Linked DNA regions of Macaca mulatta. The protein of the gene in region 1 interacts with the protein of each later gene in a pairwise test. Links are inferred from orthologs where the notes say so. Each region holds a gene or a part of one and is shown on either strand. Other genes may lie near its edges.

Evidence for each region.
Region 2: the proteins of AHCYL1 (region 1) and CDKN2C interact in binary tests that used the Homo sapiens proteins (3 or more experiments, as listed by UniProt). The two-hybrid records come from large-scale screens. The link is inferred for Macaca mulatta from reciprocal best matches to the Homo sapiens genes AHCYL1 and CDKN2C.
Region 3: the proteins of AHCYL1 (region 1) and SLC23A1 interact in binary tests that used the Homo sapiens proteins (3 or more experiments, as listed by UniProt). The two-hybrid records come from large-scale screens. The link is inferred for Macaca mulatta from reciprocal best matches to the Homo sapiens genes AHCYL1 and SLC23A1.

The regions. Positions count from the first base shown.
Region 1 is NC_133406.1:130,177,066-130,180,565, forward strand, and holds part of AHCYL1 (S-adenosylhomocysteine hydrolase-like protein 1), read right to left. Parts: coding exon 3,424-3,500; intron 3,060-3,423; coding exon 2,989-3,059; intron 2,633-2,988; coding exon 2,538-2,632; intron 2,454-2,537; coding exon 2,355-2,453; intron 1,953-2,354; coding exon 1,884-1,952; intron 1,456-1,883; coding exon 1,377-1,455; intron 252-1,376; coding exon 131-251; intron 1-130. UniProt on the Homo sapiens protein: Multifaceted cellular regulator which coordinates several essential cellular functions including regulation of epithelial HCO3(-) and fluid secretion, mRNA processing and DNA replication.
Region 2 is NC_133406.1:189,694,273-189,698,363, forward strand, and holds the start of CDKN2C (cyclin-dependent kinase 4 inhibitor C), read right to left. Parts: upstream 2,801-4,091; 5' UTR 2,685-2,800; coding exon 2,556-2,684; intron 1-2,555. UniProt on the Homo sapiens protein: Interacts strongly with CDK6, weakly with CDK4. Inhibits cell growth and proliferation with a correlated dependence on endogenous retinoblastoma protein RB.
Region 3 is NC_133411.1:148,245,512-148,249,646, forward strand, and holds the start of SLC23A1 (solute carrier family 23 member 1), read right to left. Parts: upstream 2,801-4,135; 5' UTR 2,677-2,800; coding exon 2,641-2,676; intron 2,027-2,640; coding exon 1,913-2,026; exon of another isoform or gene 1,832-1,912; intron 1,719-1,831; exon of another isoform or gene 1,513-1,718; intron 1,472-1,512; coding exon 1,314-1,471; intron 305-1,313; coding exon 216-304; intron 48-215; coding exon 1-47.

The DNA of each region.
Region 1 (3,500 bases):
CACCGTGCCTGGCCTGGAACAGATTTCTTGTACTCTGGTACAACATTTGATCTTTATGTCAGAAACAGGCTAGCCTGCTTGGTTTAATACTGGGAAAAAGAGCTTTTCACTTGCTTCTCCCCAGGTTTACCTGTAATAATTAGGTTTGAATGGCCCATTTTTGTTGAGTCCCAGATATTTTGCTTGGTCATCTGTCAGCTCTGTAAGGTGGGCATCAAATGATGGCAGGTGCAAGCTGGCAACGTATTCATCTAGGAAGAGCAAAGTGGCAGGAGAGCACACTCCTTTTCAAAATGTCTCTCAGGTTATAATTTCCCATTTTCATTTGAAGCTTTTTTAAGAAAGCAGACAAGGGATGGAATAACTCTAAAAGAATCCACAACTTGAAATATTTGCTTAATAAAAAAAAACCTCAAGGCTGCCTTTCTGGGCAGGGTGCTTCTCTCAGCACATCTCAAGTGAGTTCAGAAAAGCCACTTACCAGGGTAACAAAAGGGAGTGGGCTTTTACCTCTCTATCCTTCTGTGACAAAGCAGGGGCCTTCCCTGCAGTGGCCAACATGTCACATGCTACTCCTACCTTCCTGCAGCAACCTCCTTAACTAGATTAAATTATAGTCAAATTAGCAATCAAAGTGGACACCAGTAAGCTAGGAAGAGCCTGTGTCAATAACACTTATTTAGGATAAGATCCATGGATCTTAGGATCAAATCTTAGGATCATGAATTTCCAAGGTAGTTGGCACAAAATTATTACTTTTCCATAGATAAGCTTCCCTTTTATAATTATACACTTAAAAAAAAAAAAAAAGTCTGAAGTAAGCTATTGGAGGAGAGGACAGCAAGAAGTATTTTAGCGTTAAGAAGTAAGGGATTTGGCCTAGCCAAGGAGATATGGGAGATGGGTACCACCATGCAGAAAGGTAAAGGACTACAGATGATGTATTATGTCACTTTAACACAGCATGGGTTGCTTACAAGAGATTGGATAGTTTGCATATCCTCACAGATAATGGACAATAAAACCTGTGTTTCTTTCATTTTGGTCCAAGGCTGTATGTACTCAGCTGCACTAGGAAGTTTACTGAACTTAATAAGGCTACTTAGAGTAAGAACATCTACCCTAAACCATTGTGTTAAGCACTGTTACTCATTAGCTGGGATTCTCACACAATTCTACAATGTATGTAGTATTATTCTCATTTTACCAATCAAGAAACTGAGGATCATGGAGATTAGAACTTGTCCTGAGGTCAAACAACCAGTAAGCACAAGAACAGGAATTGGAACTCTGACTCTAAATCCAATGCCTTTCATGGCAGTCATTTTACCAAACTATGCAGCTGTCTGCATAGGATTCCACTGTTTTTCACTCACCCATTTTCTTAGGAAGCAAGTATACATCCTGCTTGTATCGTCCCTCAGGTGCATTATAGAGTTCTATCAGTGCCAAAGCCTAAGGTGGGAAAAGAAGACCAGAAAACATAAAAATAATTGTTAGACAGGTACATAAAAATAAAACCAGGTTTAATAGCATTTGGGTAAGTACTACAGTGATCTACCATAGTGACAGCACCTAAGACTTTGCCTATACTAAAGGGCAGCACACATCCTAAGAGGATTTGTTGTTTTTGTTTAGTTCCTGACAAAAGAACAACTCAAATAAAACTAAGCTGGAACATTATATTCTCAACTAAACAGCCAATTCAACAAATACTGACTAGTGACTCTTTTCTGTACTTGAGAATACCTAAGTCTCAACAATTTATTACATAAAAAAAGAATAGGATGATGAGAACATAGTACAGTACACCCTCACTGGAACTGATCTACGCCCAGTTCCACAAATTGCGGTGCAATGTAAGCAGGCATTTTGCCACATACCTGTGTTGTGGCTGTGATGGACAGAACAAAGGTGGGAACTGTGGAGCAGCTCAAATTGAGTAGACGACCCTGGAAAGGTAAGAGAGAGCCCTGGGATGAGCTCTGTCTCAGATTCCAATGGCATACAAGTCAAGCCAAAGCGGAAGAAGACTTTACACCCCTCTAGACTCAGCTGGAAGAGGAAGAATTACAGTTCCAGATCAGGACTCTAGGCTTTTTCCTATTTTCTGCAAATCCATCTGAGTCTGAAAGGTTAAAGAATCAGCTGTGGTTAGGAAATAGTGTTACTTAGTAATGAGATTTTTTTTAAGTGGTTTTATTTTGGGGACCAGATAATTTGTGAAATATCTCTCTCTCCAAAGATAAAATTCAGGGAAACACAGGCCCAATATTTGTTCCCCCCCGCCACCCCCACCATGGATCTAACTACTCTGCTTGTGCTGCTCTGCCAGAGTCCTTTTCTGTGTGTACCTCTGCCAGGAGGACAACTCGTTTGCCATCTGGCCAGATGACATGGTCCACCTGAGAACGTACTCGCTCCCACGTCAGCTCTGGAGTGCGGAGGCTGGTCTGAAAGGAAGAAAGCACAGTTGACTATCGTTATTAATGAAAGGTAGTAGAGAAATGCCTAGCAACAAATGAGAGGAGCCTTACCACATCGATTTCCGTATTGGAATGGCCCATATTGCATACGATACAACTGTTTTTCATGCGATCCAAGTGCTCCCGTGTCACTACATTCTTATTTCCTAAAAGTAAAGATGAGTGGCTAAGGAAAGAGATGCTGGACAACAAAGGTACTGGTTGGCTTTCTGGTAGAACATAGGAGACAGGAGGCTTGCTGGCATTAAAGGACATGTACACATTCTGAGAGAAGACATGCATAACCACTCCTTAGGCTACCTGGTCTTCAGATCAAGCAGTATAAAAAGTCACCAGGGAAAGAAGTTTTTTACTCTGGAAAACATGTTAAGGTTCTGACAGCTTATTCTAGTTCTGAGATCTTTATACTGAACAGAGGTCTCACCTCCTTTGTATGAAAGTCACTAAGACTACTTTCAAGATTTAGCCTCTGAATAAACACCCCTCTATGCAAGTTATTTACCTGTGCAAGTTATTACGACATCAACTTGCCGGATGACTTCATTTAGCTTTACCACCCTGAACCCATCCATGCTAGAAGAAAAGAAAGGAACATTATGAGTAAAGCAAGAAGGCAGTGGGAGGGAAGATGGTCATGAAATGAGACAAGATCCCCTTCTAAAGTTGGATCCAGTGCCACCTCACAGGAATGGTGAGTGATAAGCTGTGCTAAACTATATACACTGGCCTCTTCAGAGTCCCTAAGACTCCATCCAGGAAGGAAAACTGCCAAGAGGCTCTAAGAGAGCCCTAGGGTTAGAATGAGAAGAACAGAGCAGTCCTAGCCTTCTCTTCCCCTAGGTGATTTCTGCAAAAATGATTAATATACTCAATTATGAACTCTCAGTAACATAAAGTACCTAGGGTGAATCTAATAGTATTATCAGTCTGTTCTTACCAAGCCTGCAGAGCACAGATGGGGTCGATTTCGGTAATGTAGACAATTGCTCCAAGAGCTTTGAGAGCAGCACAGCA
Region 2 (4,091 bases), about 60 Mb from region 1:
ACAACTGTTCTTGAAAATAATGAAATAGTCACCCTATTACATTATATGCTGTTTCTCAAAGTTCTGACAAGCCTCCTGATTTTCAAGTGAGCAAAAGAAGAAAAAATAAGATATTTAATGGGTGTTTTGGGACACGGACAGCCTTGTGCCTTGTCTTGTGGTTTGAGCTAATTTAATAATCAACTGGTGATCCTGTGTTAGTTCCTTTTTCAGTTACTATCAAGCATTTAAAGAATAGCTATTTGTAAACTGCCAACATTTTAAAAGTCAGAATGTGGTATTACCACTTGCTATCAACATACAAATAATTCACATAACGAAGATTATTTACTATTGTTTGAATATGTTTCACTCTATCAGTGGTCTGTTATAAAATATCTTGTAGAACATCATGCAAACATAAAATACATATAATTTAGTTGTGAAAAAATATTACTTTCATTAACATGCCACATATTTTCAGCATTTACACTGGTTTATTTATATTTAGGTATATTATAATAATCTAAATTATAATAAATATCTTATATAATAGACACTCAATGTTTATGAAATTAAATGCTAATGGAAAATACAAAGTCGATCTATCTTTTTTAAATGTTTAAAAAATCTAATCACATATTAAATAATAAAATATATTTAGAATGAGTAATATTTTGTAAATGCAAACTATATAGATGGACAAGATATTAAGCTCCCCTGTTGATAAAACTCTGTTGACTTTTAGCTCTTCCTTTGGAGCAGTGGTAAACAGTGATACATAATTTATATTTCAAGAACTTCAATGAAACATACTTTTGGTTATTAAAAATTGATACCACCACAACTGTCTCTAAAGATTTAGTCATATTTAAGGACCTGCAATGAGAAAAATAAGAGACAGATATCTTGGATCTTTGTAAAGCAAACATACGATTAAGGCCTTTGATATTAACCTGATAGAAAAATATACACTAGGAAGGTGGAAAAGGCTTTTGAAATTGAGTTAAATAAACATAATTGTAGAATAAAATTCACCTTTTTTCACAGAAAATAATAGTAATATTGGAAATGGTTTTGAAGAAAGTTATTTCTTGACTTATGACACAACTTCAGAGTTAGGATTATACATAATGAAAATAAGCCTTGAAACTCCAGTTTCTGTGTGTTTCGTTATATGTACAAGGACTAAGCCACAATAAGTGGGTGTTAGTATCTTGATAAGTATGTTTAATATAAACAAGATTGCAAAGTTGTATTAAAAATGTTTGTCAAAACTTTTTAAAAGAATATTATTAATTTCCCAGTCTTTCTGTTCGTCAAAAATCCTGTAAAATCTTATTATGAACATGGGTTAAGTAGCTCATTCTTTGTGAAGTTTATATAATCTTTTGAGTTTTCAAAAGGAAGCTTTTCAATATATTAAATTTGTTACTTTGCTATCATCACTAAACCTGTTCAAAACTACTAGGTAGAAAAAGAAAAAAAATCATTACTTAATGTAGCAGAAATAACAAGATAAATAATTTAGTATCTGTGCATAAACTTCCTTAATACTGAAATTTTTGCAAGGCCAGTGTATTCTGATTGAAAACGTACAGACTACATGGACTTTGTTTGTTACTAGTATATCTCCTGGCACTTAAATTTTTAATTCTTGTAACCGAAACAAAGCCCTCTAAAAACCCTCTCCCCAATGGGTTTTCAAAAACAGCTTCAAGTGTTGCATTTCCAAATAAGAATAGCTCATAAGAATATCATCAGAACTCTGATAAATTAACTATTTTAAACTATTTTGTCATTTTTCTGTTTCTAAGCCTTTCACCTAAATTACATGATAACATTCAGAAGAAGAAAAAAATTATCAGGTACAATACTTGGCAGCTGGACATGTGTCAATCGTTGCCTGTAAATCTAATTACTGAAAATTAGAGCACACCACGGCATAATCGTAGAGACAAAGACACTGCAGCTGAGCTCTGATTAGAAAATTCAACTTTTTATTCCTCCCGACTCCTGAATGAGTGGATGGTATTACATTAACTGTGAAATGTACATCCTGTCCCGGTGCCCAGGCCACCCATTCCAAACGAGGAAAAGTCGTTTGTCAAAACTTGGAGCATTTGAAGGAAAAACACCCTCACCAGTAGTCAAGAAAATTAACGTTAAAGTCTATTACTGGGGGCAAAGTACGTGAAACCACTAATAGCAGTGTATTTCAAATAATAATCATAATAATGTGTTTACAGAGCTGTCTTTAAAAACAAAACAAAACAAACAAACCTCGGCCCTACAATGACTACTCTAAAATCCCCACCGTCACAAAAAGATTCCAAAAACTAAGACCAAATCTGGACCCCACTTGATATCAAGGATGTTATTGGATTTGAGGAGTTTGTTCAAAGTACGTCATTTTGAGAAGTTGCATCCACTTAAAGATATAAAATATGGCAACCAACTAGGTTTAAAAACAGTGAAATTTTATGTCCCTGAAAGCTTAAAAGCTGTAAATCTAGAAAACCGGGTCACGTAGGCAACATTATTGACTTGTTTTCCCCACCTCTCTGAATACCAACCTGCAGTGCGGTCCTTCCAAATCCATTTTGTGCATTGACGTTTACATTATTTTGCAACAAACTAGTAAGTTGCTCTAGGTCCCCCCTGGCAGCTGCGGACGCCAACTCGTTCCCCCAAGGCTCGGCCATTCTTTAGGGTCCTGACGATCAGGAAAAGATGAATTAGTCGTTTTTCTTTTTTCCCTTTCCTTTGCTCCTAACCAGGCTGCATGATGGCATCGGAGACTGACAGAAGGACTGGGATGGTTAATCTGGAGTAGAGCTTGGTAGTAAATACTAGTAAGATCTGCCTGCCAAAAGCCCGCCCCTCGATTCACACGTGATTATTCAGCAAAACTGAGCCATTGGAGAGGGGCTCCTCGCCTCGCTTTTTTAGCTTAACCCCTATGAAGAATTCTGACGACTCCACAGAGACACACACAGACACACATACATTCCTGGGTAATGACTCCGGACGTCAGATGTAGGCAGAGCTGTCACGTACCTACGCTACAGATCTCTGTGAGGAGTGTGTGTGGACACTCAAGGGACTATAGATCGGGGCAGAAAATACCGCGGAAGGAAAGACATTCGGGGGGAAGAAAAGGCATTCACCCACCCTTGTTCACGGTGGTGACTTGAGCCGTGTGAGGCAGAACTGCAGGGGCAGGTCCTCCAGGGGGCTCGGTTTCCATCCGTCTCGCCGAAGGGACAGTCCTGGGTCCTCCGCTGCTGGGAGAGCGCCGCGGTGGCTGGATGCTGACGTGCTCCGGGGGGTTAAAAGATGATCGCCAAAGGCGAACGGGAGTAGCAGTTCCGTGGCCCTCAAGTTACAGGTCGTAACGACTGCCCAGTACTCTGGGCTTCTCCAGAAGAGCGTTTAGTCGCGTCCGGGCCAAGTCGTGGGCTAATGCCGCTCAGGAAAGCTCCAGAGCCCGCCCGCCAGGCAGCCGCAGCCCCGCCGAGCCTCAGAGGCCGTGGGAGCCGGGCTCGGCGCGCGTCTCCGGAGGCTGCCGGGCGTGCGGCGGGCCCCCGAGAAGCCCGTCATGCCGGCCCCGCCAGGTCCCGGGACTCCCGGCAGCCTGAGGAAGGAGGAGAGCGATGCGGGAAGCGTCTACGGGGCCCGGACTGCTGGGGCAGCTCGCGGCAGCATTGCGGCTGTACTGGGCAGACCCCCGGGAACTTCCCGCCTACGACCGAGCTCGTTCAGGCTTTCTGTTGTAGGTACTCATTGAGCTGCTGCCGCCGCTGTCCTTTCCTTCCTTTCCCGGTTTTGTGGGAGCCTCCGGAGATGGGGAGAGTCCTGGGAAACGCAGGCCAAGTTCTGAGTAGGGGGAGTCGCCACAGTTCCAGGGCGCAGCCAGACCCGCCGCCGTCTCGGCGAGCGCTCAGCAGCTTCGGCGCCCGGTGCCACTTCGCCACCTCTCGCGGTCCCCGGCCGCCTGTGCCCCTTTGCTGCGGACAGGGCAGCCGCCAGCCAGCTGTGCCCTGGAGCCGAGCCTGGCAGCACTGCTTCCTCCCTGGCCACACCGCTCCCAGTGACAGTTTCTTTTGTAG
Region 3 (4,135 bases), on another chromosome or scaffold:
GATGTGAGAGGTATTCAGGGGCAGACTCCAGTTACCGTAGATCTCCTCTGGGGGTAGAGTCAGGGACACACACATGGACCAGGTACAGAGACAAGAGAGGGAGAGAAGATGCTGCCATGACTGCACCCTGGTGTCTGGACCCGGGACAGTTGCTCAGACCTCCAGGTCTCTGGGCCTTCCCTTTTCCCCAGTGTGGACCCCAGAAGTGTACCCACCTTCCGAGGGGCATTTCCATCTCTCCAGAGCCAGTATGGCTTTGGCTGGAACCAGAAATGCAAAGGCACTGGCCTGAAACAGCGGCAGCCTGAAGGAGAGGCACAGAGCAACAGGGTGGGGAGGAAGGATATAGATGGGGGGGGAGGAGGGATATAGACATGGGGAGAGATCAGGAAAGGAGAGCACAGAGAGAATGACAGAGACACGAGGAATAAGGGCAGATGAAAGTCGCTGAGGCCCCAGGGAAGACCAACTGTAACATTTTGGCTGCCCAAGGAAGAAAACAAATGGAGCCCCCAACTCAAAATCTGCCCCCTTTCCTTCCCATCACCAGGTCCTGCACTGTTAGGAGGGACCACCTGCCCGGAAGTGGACAGCTCAGTTCCCACATCCAGATTTCTCTCACAATCTTCCCCTGCCCGCCACCGCTCAAACAGCTCAAATGCCACCCAGGCCTAGGGCTGTGCACTCGGGAGCGTGGGGCCCTGGGAGGGTGGGCTGTTGAAGAGGCTGGCACCGGCCCTGGGAGCCAGCTCAGGGCTGCCATTTGGGCAGTATTCAGAATGCGGCTTAAGAGCGGAGAGCTGGCCAGGCTTGGTGGTTCACGCCTGTAATCCCAGCACTTTGGAAGGCCAAGGCGGGTGGATACAAATGCAAAATTAGCCAGGCGTGGTGGTGCGTGCCTGTAATCCCAGTTACTCGGGAGGCTGAGGTAGAAGAATCGCTTGAACCTAGGAGGTGGAGGTTGTGGTGAGCCAAGATTATGCCACTGCACTCCAGCCTAGGCAACAAGAGTGAAACTCTGTCTCCAAAAAAAAAAAAAAAAAAAAAAAAAAAAAAATGGGGAGAGCCAGCGAGGGTACATTCCCTTCCCTTAATTCCCTTCCCTTAAACTTGCAGATGCTTGGTTTTTGAGTGTGCCTAGATCAAGGTTCCCAGGGTCAGGGCTGTGCTGCCCAGCTCTAAGGCTGGCCTGGGATAGGAGAAGCAGTTGGAGGCAGATAGTGGCTTTTTTGTCTCACCGGTGTCCTCTGGGAGCCCACCTGCTCCTGCTGTGTGGATCACAGTGGGGGGGGAGGGGGAACTGGGCCGCTCACCGGATGCCCAGGGTGGTCTGGATGAGAGTGGTGATGCCCACGCATGTGAAGATGGTGCCGATGAGCTGACTAACCATGTGCTGGTCGTGGCCCACACACAGCGCCTCAGCCAGCAGGAAGGGCACGGCGATGGTGCCACTGAAGCATGTCAGGTAGTGCTGGGCGGAGGGAGAGAGCAGAGTGCATGAGGCAGGACCCTAGAGCTCCAGGGAGAGGGGACAGCCTAGTGTCCTCATGCCTGCCTCAGCAGGCCTTGACCTGGCTGCCTGCCCAGGAGAGGCAGTCCCCACAAGGGATTCCCAGAGAGCTACTGCTGACCACTCTGGGGGTCACTAATTTCCACCCAAGTTATTCCTGTGGCTTCCATGGAGTTGGCTCTGCACCCTGTCACCAACACTCCACCTGGCAAGTGTCACACGCCCCCAGGGAGTTCCTCCTCTTTCAGGACTCAGTCTCTTCCCCACCCCTGCCTGCTGACAGCCATGTGCTGACCTCAGGTTTTTCTTCTTGTTACCCAGGATACTCCCTGCTGGCCAGGGACAGGCTGGAGTCACCGCGGAGTGTGCAGAGTGAGGGCAGGGAGGCCCTGGGGGACCCACCTGGAAGCCCAGCAGGATGCACAGGTACCAAGGCGGCACGTCCTCGATCTTGTACAACATGTCAAACTTAGGCTCTGTGGGTAGGGGGGTCGGAGGGTCCCTGGGGGATTCATGCTAGGGGCAGCAGAGATAAGTAGCTTAGGGTGGAGTGATGGGGACAGGCAAAATCCATTCTGCCCCGAAAACAATCAGGCAGCCCGAGTGGCCTGTCAGCAACTGAGAGTGGGGTCCCTGCCCTCCCCAACAGTTCATCCACCCGGTTCCCACTCGGCCTGGCCACAGTTGTCTCCCACTTCACATTGCTTCCCACAGGGATGAGTCTTTTGTGCCGGCTTCTAGAGCCCTCAGGACCTGTCATTTTAGCCAGGGAAATGGACCCCTAAGTCAGAGGTCTGGGGACCACAGGAGAGGGGGCCAAGAGGGCTCGAGACTGTGGACAAGTCCAATCCGGTCCCACCTCTGCCCCCTGGAGATCTTTGGGGTGTCACTGGCGGGGAGGTTAGGCCTCTCCTGAACCCCAACCTAGAGTCAGCCAGTCCCAAAGCTGCAGGCTTCTTGACCCCCACCCCCACCCATCCCCCAGTTGCCACATTCAGTTTAGGACAGTCACTCTTTATCAAGTTCATCAGAATGTTTATCTCTGGCCTCCCGGGAGAAGGCCTGCACAGGCCCTCCAGCCCCCCACCGCCCCCCGCCCCCACCTAGCCCCCACCCCCAGCCCCCAGCACCTGTGTTGGGCCCTCGGGGTCCTCGTGGGCCCTCATCTTTGGGGCACAGGTTTGAGCAGTTCCTGAGGAGAAGAGGGGAGGACTTTACAAAGGCCAAGGAGGAGGACTTTACTCCACATATCAGGCATTGTTCGAAGTAAATCTGTAACCAGATGCCCAGCTCCGGATTGCGAAAGGGGGGCCTGGGCAGAGGTAATGTATTAACTCTCACTAGGGCAGTAAAAGCCACCTAAGCCTCTGCCACATGTGCCCTTCCCTGCCCACATCTGCACCTGGGTGCTGGACCTGTTCTTGTTTCCCAAGAGAGGGCCAGAGTCGAGGGGGTGAGGACCAGAAGTTTACCAAGCCCCAGGTGAGGGGAGAAAGAGGGAGTGGAAACAGGCACTTATTATGTAACCCCCTGTATGAGGCCCTTCCCCATTTATTAATAACCAGTTCATCATTATAATCATCATCATAGTCATTCTCGTTATTAAGGAATGGCCTTGTGCCAAGAAACATGGATTTGCACTGTCTCAAGTAACCCCTGTGCTGGGCAGTATTAACCCCTTTAACAGCAAAGGAAACAGATTCAGTAGATGTGATTTGACCCAAGCCATGCAGATAGCAAGGTTGCAGAAACCAATCCTAAAATTCAGGTTGGTCTGACCTGCCTTGCCCCCACCACCTGCACCCCTCAGGGTCCCTGAGGCAGGCAGCAGATGGGCCTCTGCAGATGGAGCTGCCTAGGCTGGCCCAGCCTGGCCTGCACCCTGTGTCAGGACACAGATCCCTTTCCCTCCCAGTCACATAATTTGTGGGACCCAGTGCAAAGTGAGAATGTGAGGCCTTTATTCCAAAAGTATAAAGAATTTAAAGATAGCAAGAGCATCAGATGGAGCATGGGGCCTTTCTATACACCAAGCCCGGTGTGACTGCCCATCACCCAGCCCAGGAAGGCAGTCCTATGCCCAAACTCTCTCCCCTCCTGGCAGGCCCAGCCCAGCAGGGCCTGAGGATGGCAGGGGGGACATGGGGAGGGGCCCTAAGAGCTCAGGCTCCTCAGCTGGTGAGGGCTAGGCCTGAGGTCCCCATTCTGTTCCCTCTGGGCTGCCCCAGCCCCAGCACTCTAGGGCCTACCTACTTCTGGGTGGCTGTGCCCATGGCCAGGCCCTGCCCGCAGGGCCAAGGGGCAGCACCGCTCTCCAACTGGACAGCAGGTTCATGCCACAGCACTGAGTCCGCCTGCCTGCCGGTGTCCACACTGTTCCTCTGTCCATCCACTTGTCCTCTCCTCTCCCTCTTGGCTCCTACTCCCAATTTCCCAAGTTGCTGGACCAGTTTGAAGCCTCTGCAACTCCCCAGCACTTTCCTCTCCACCCCCTCCTCCCAGAACTCCCCAGGGGGCTGTGGATACCAAGCCCCACCCCTTGCAGACAGGGGTCCATGGACACTCAATTCAACCCAAACCACACAATACACATAAAGAACAAGGTGGAGAACAAGGTCCCAGATC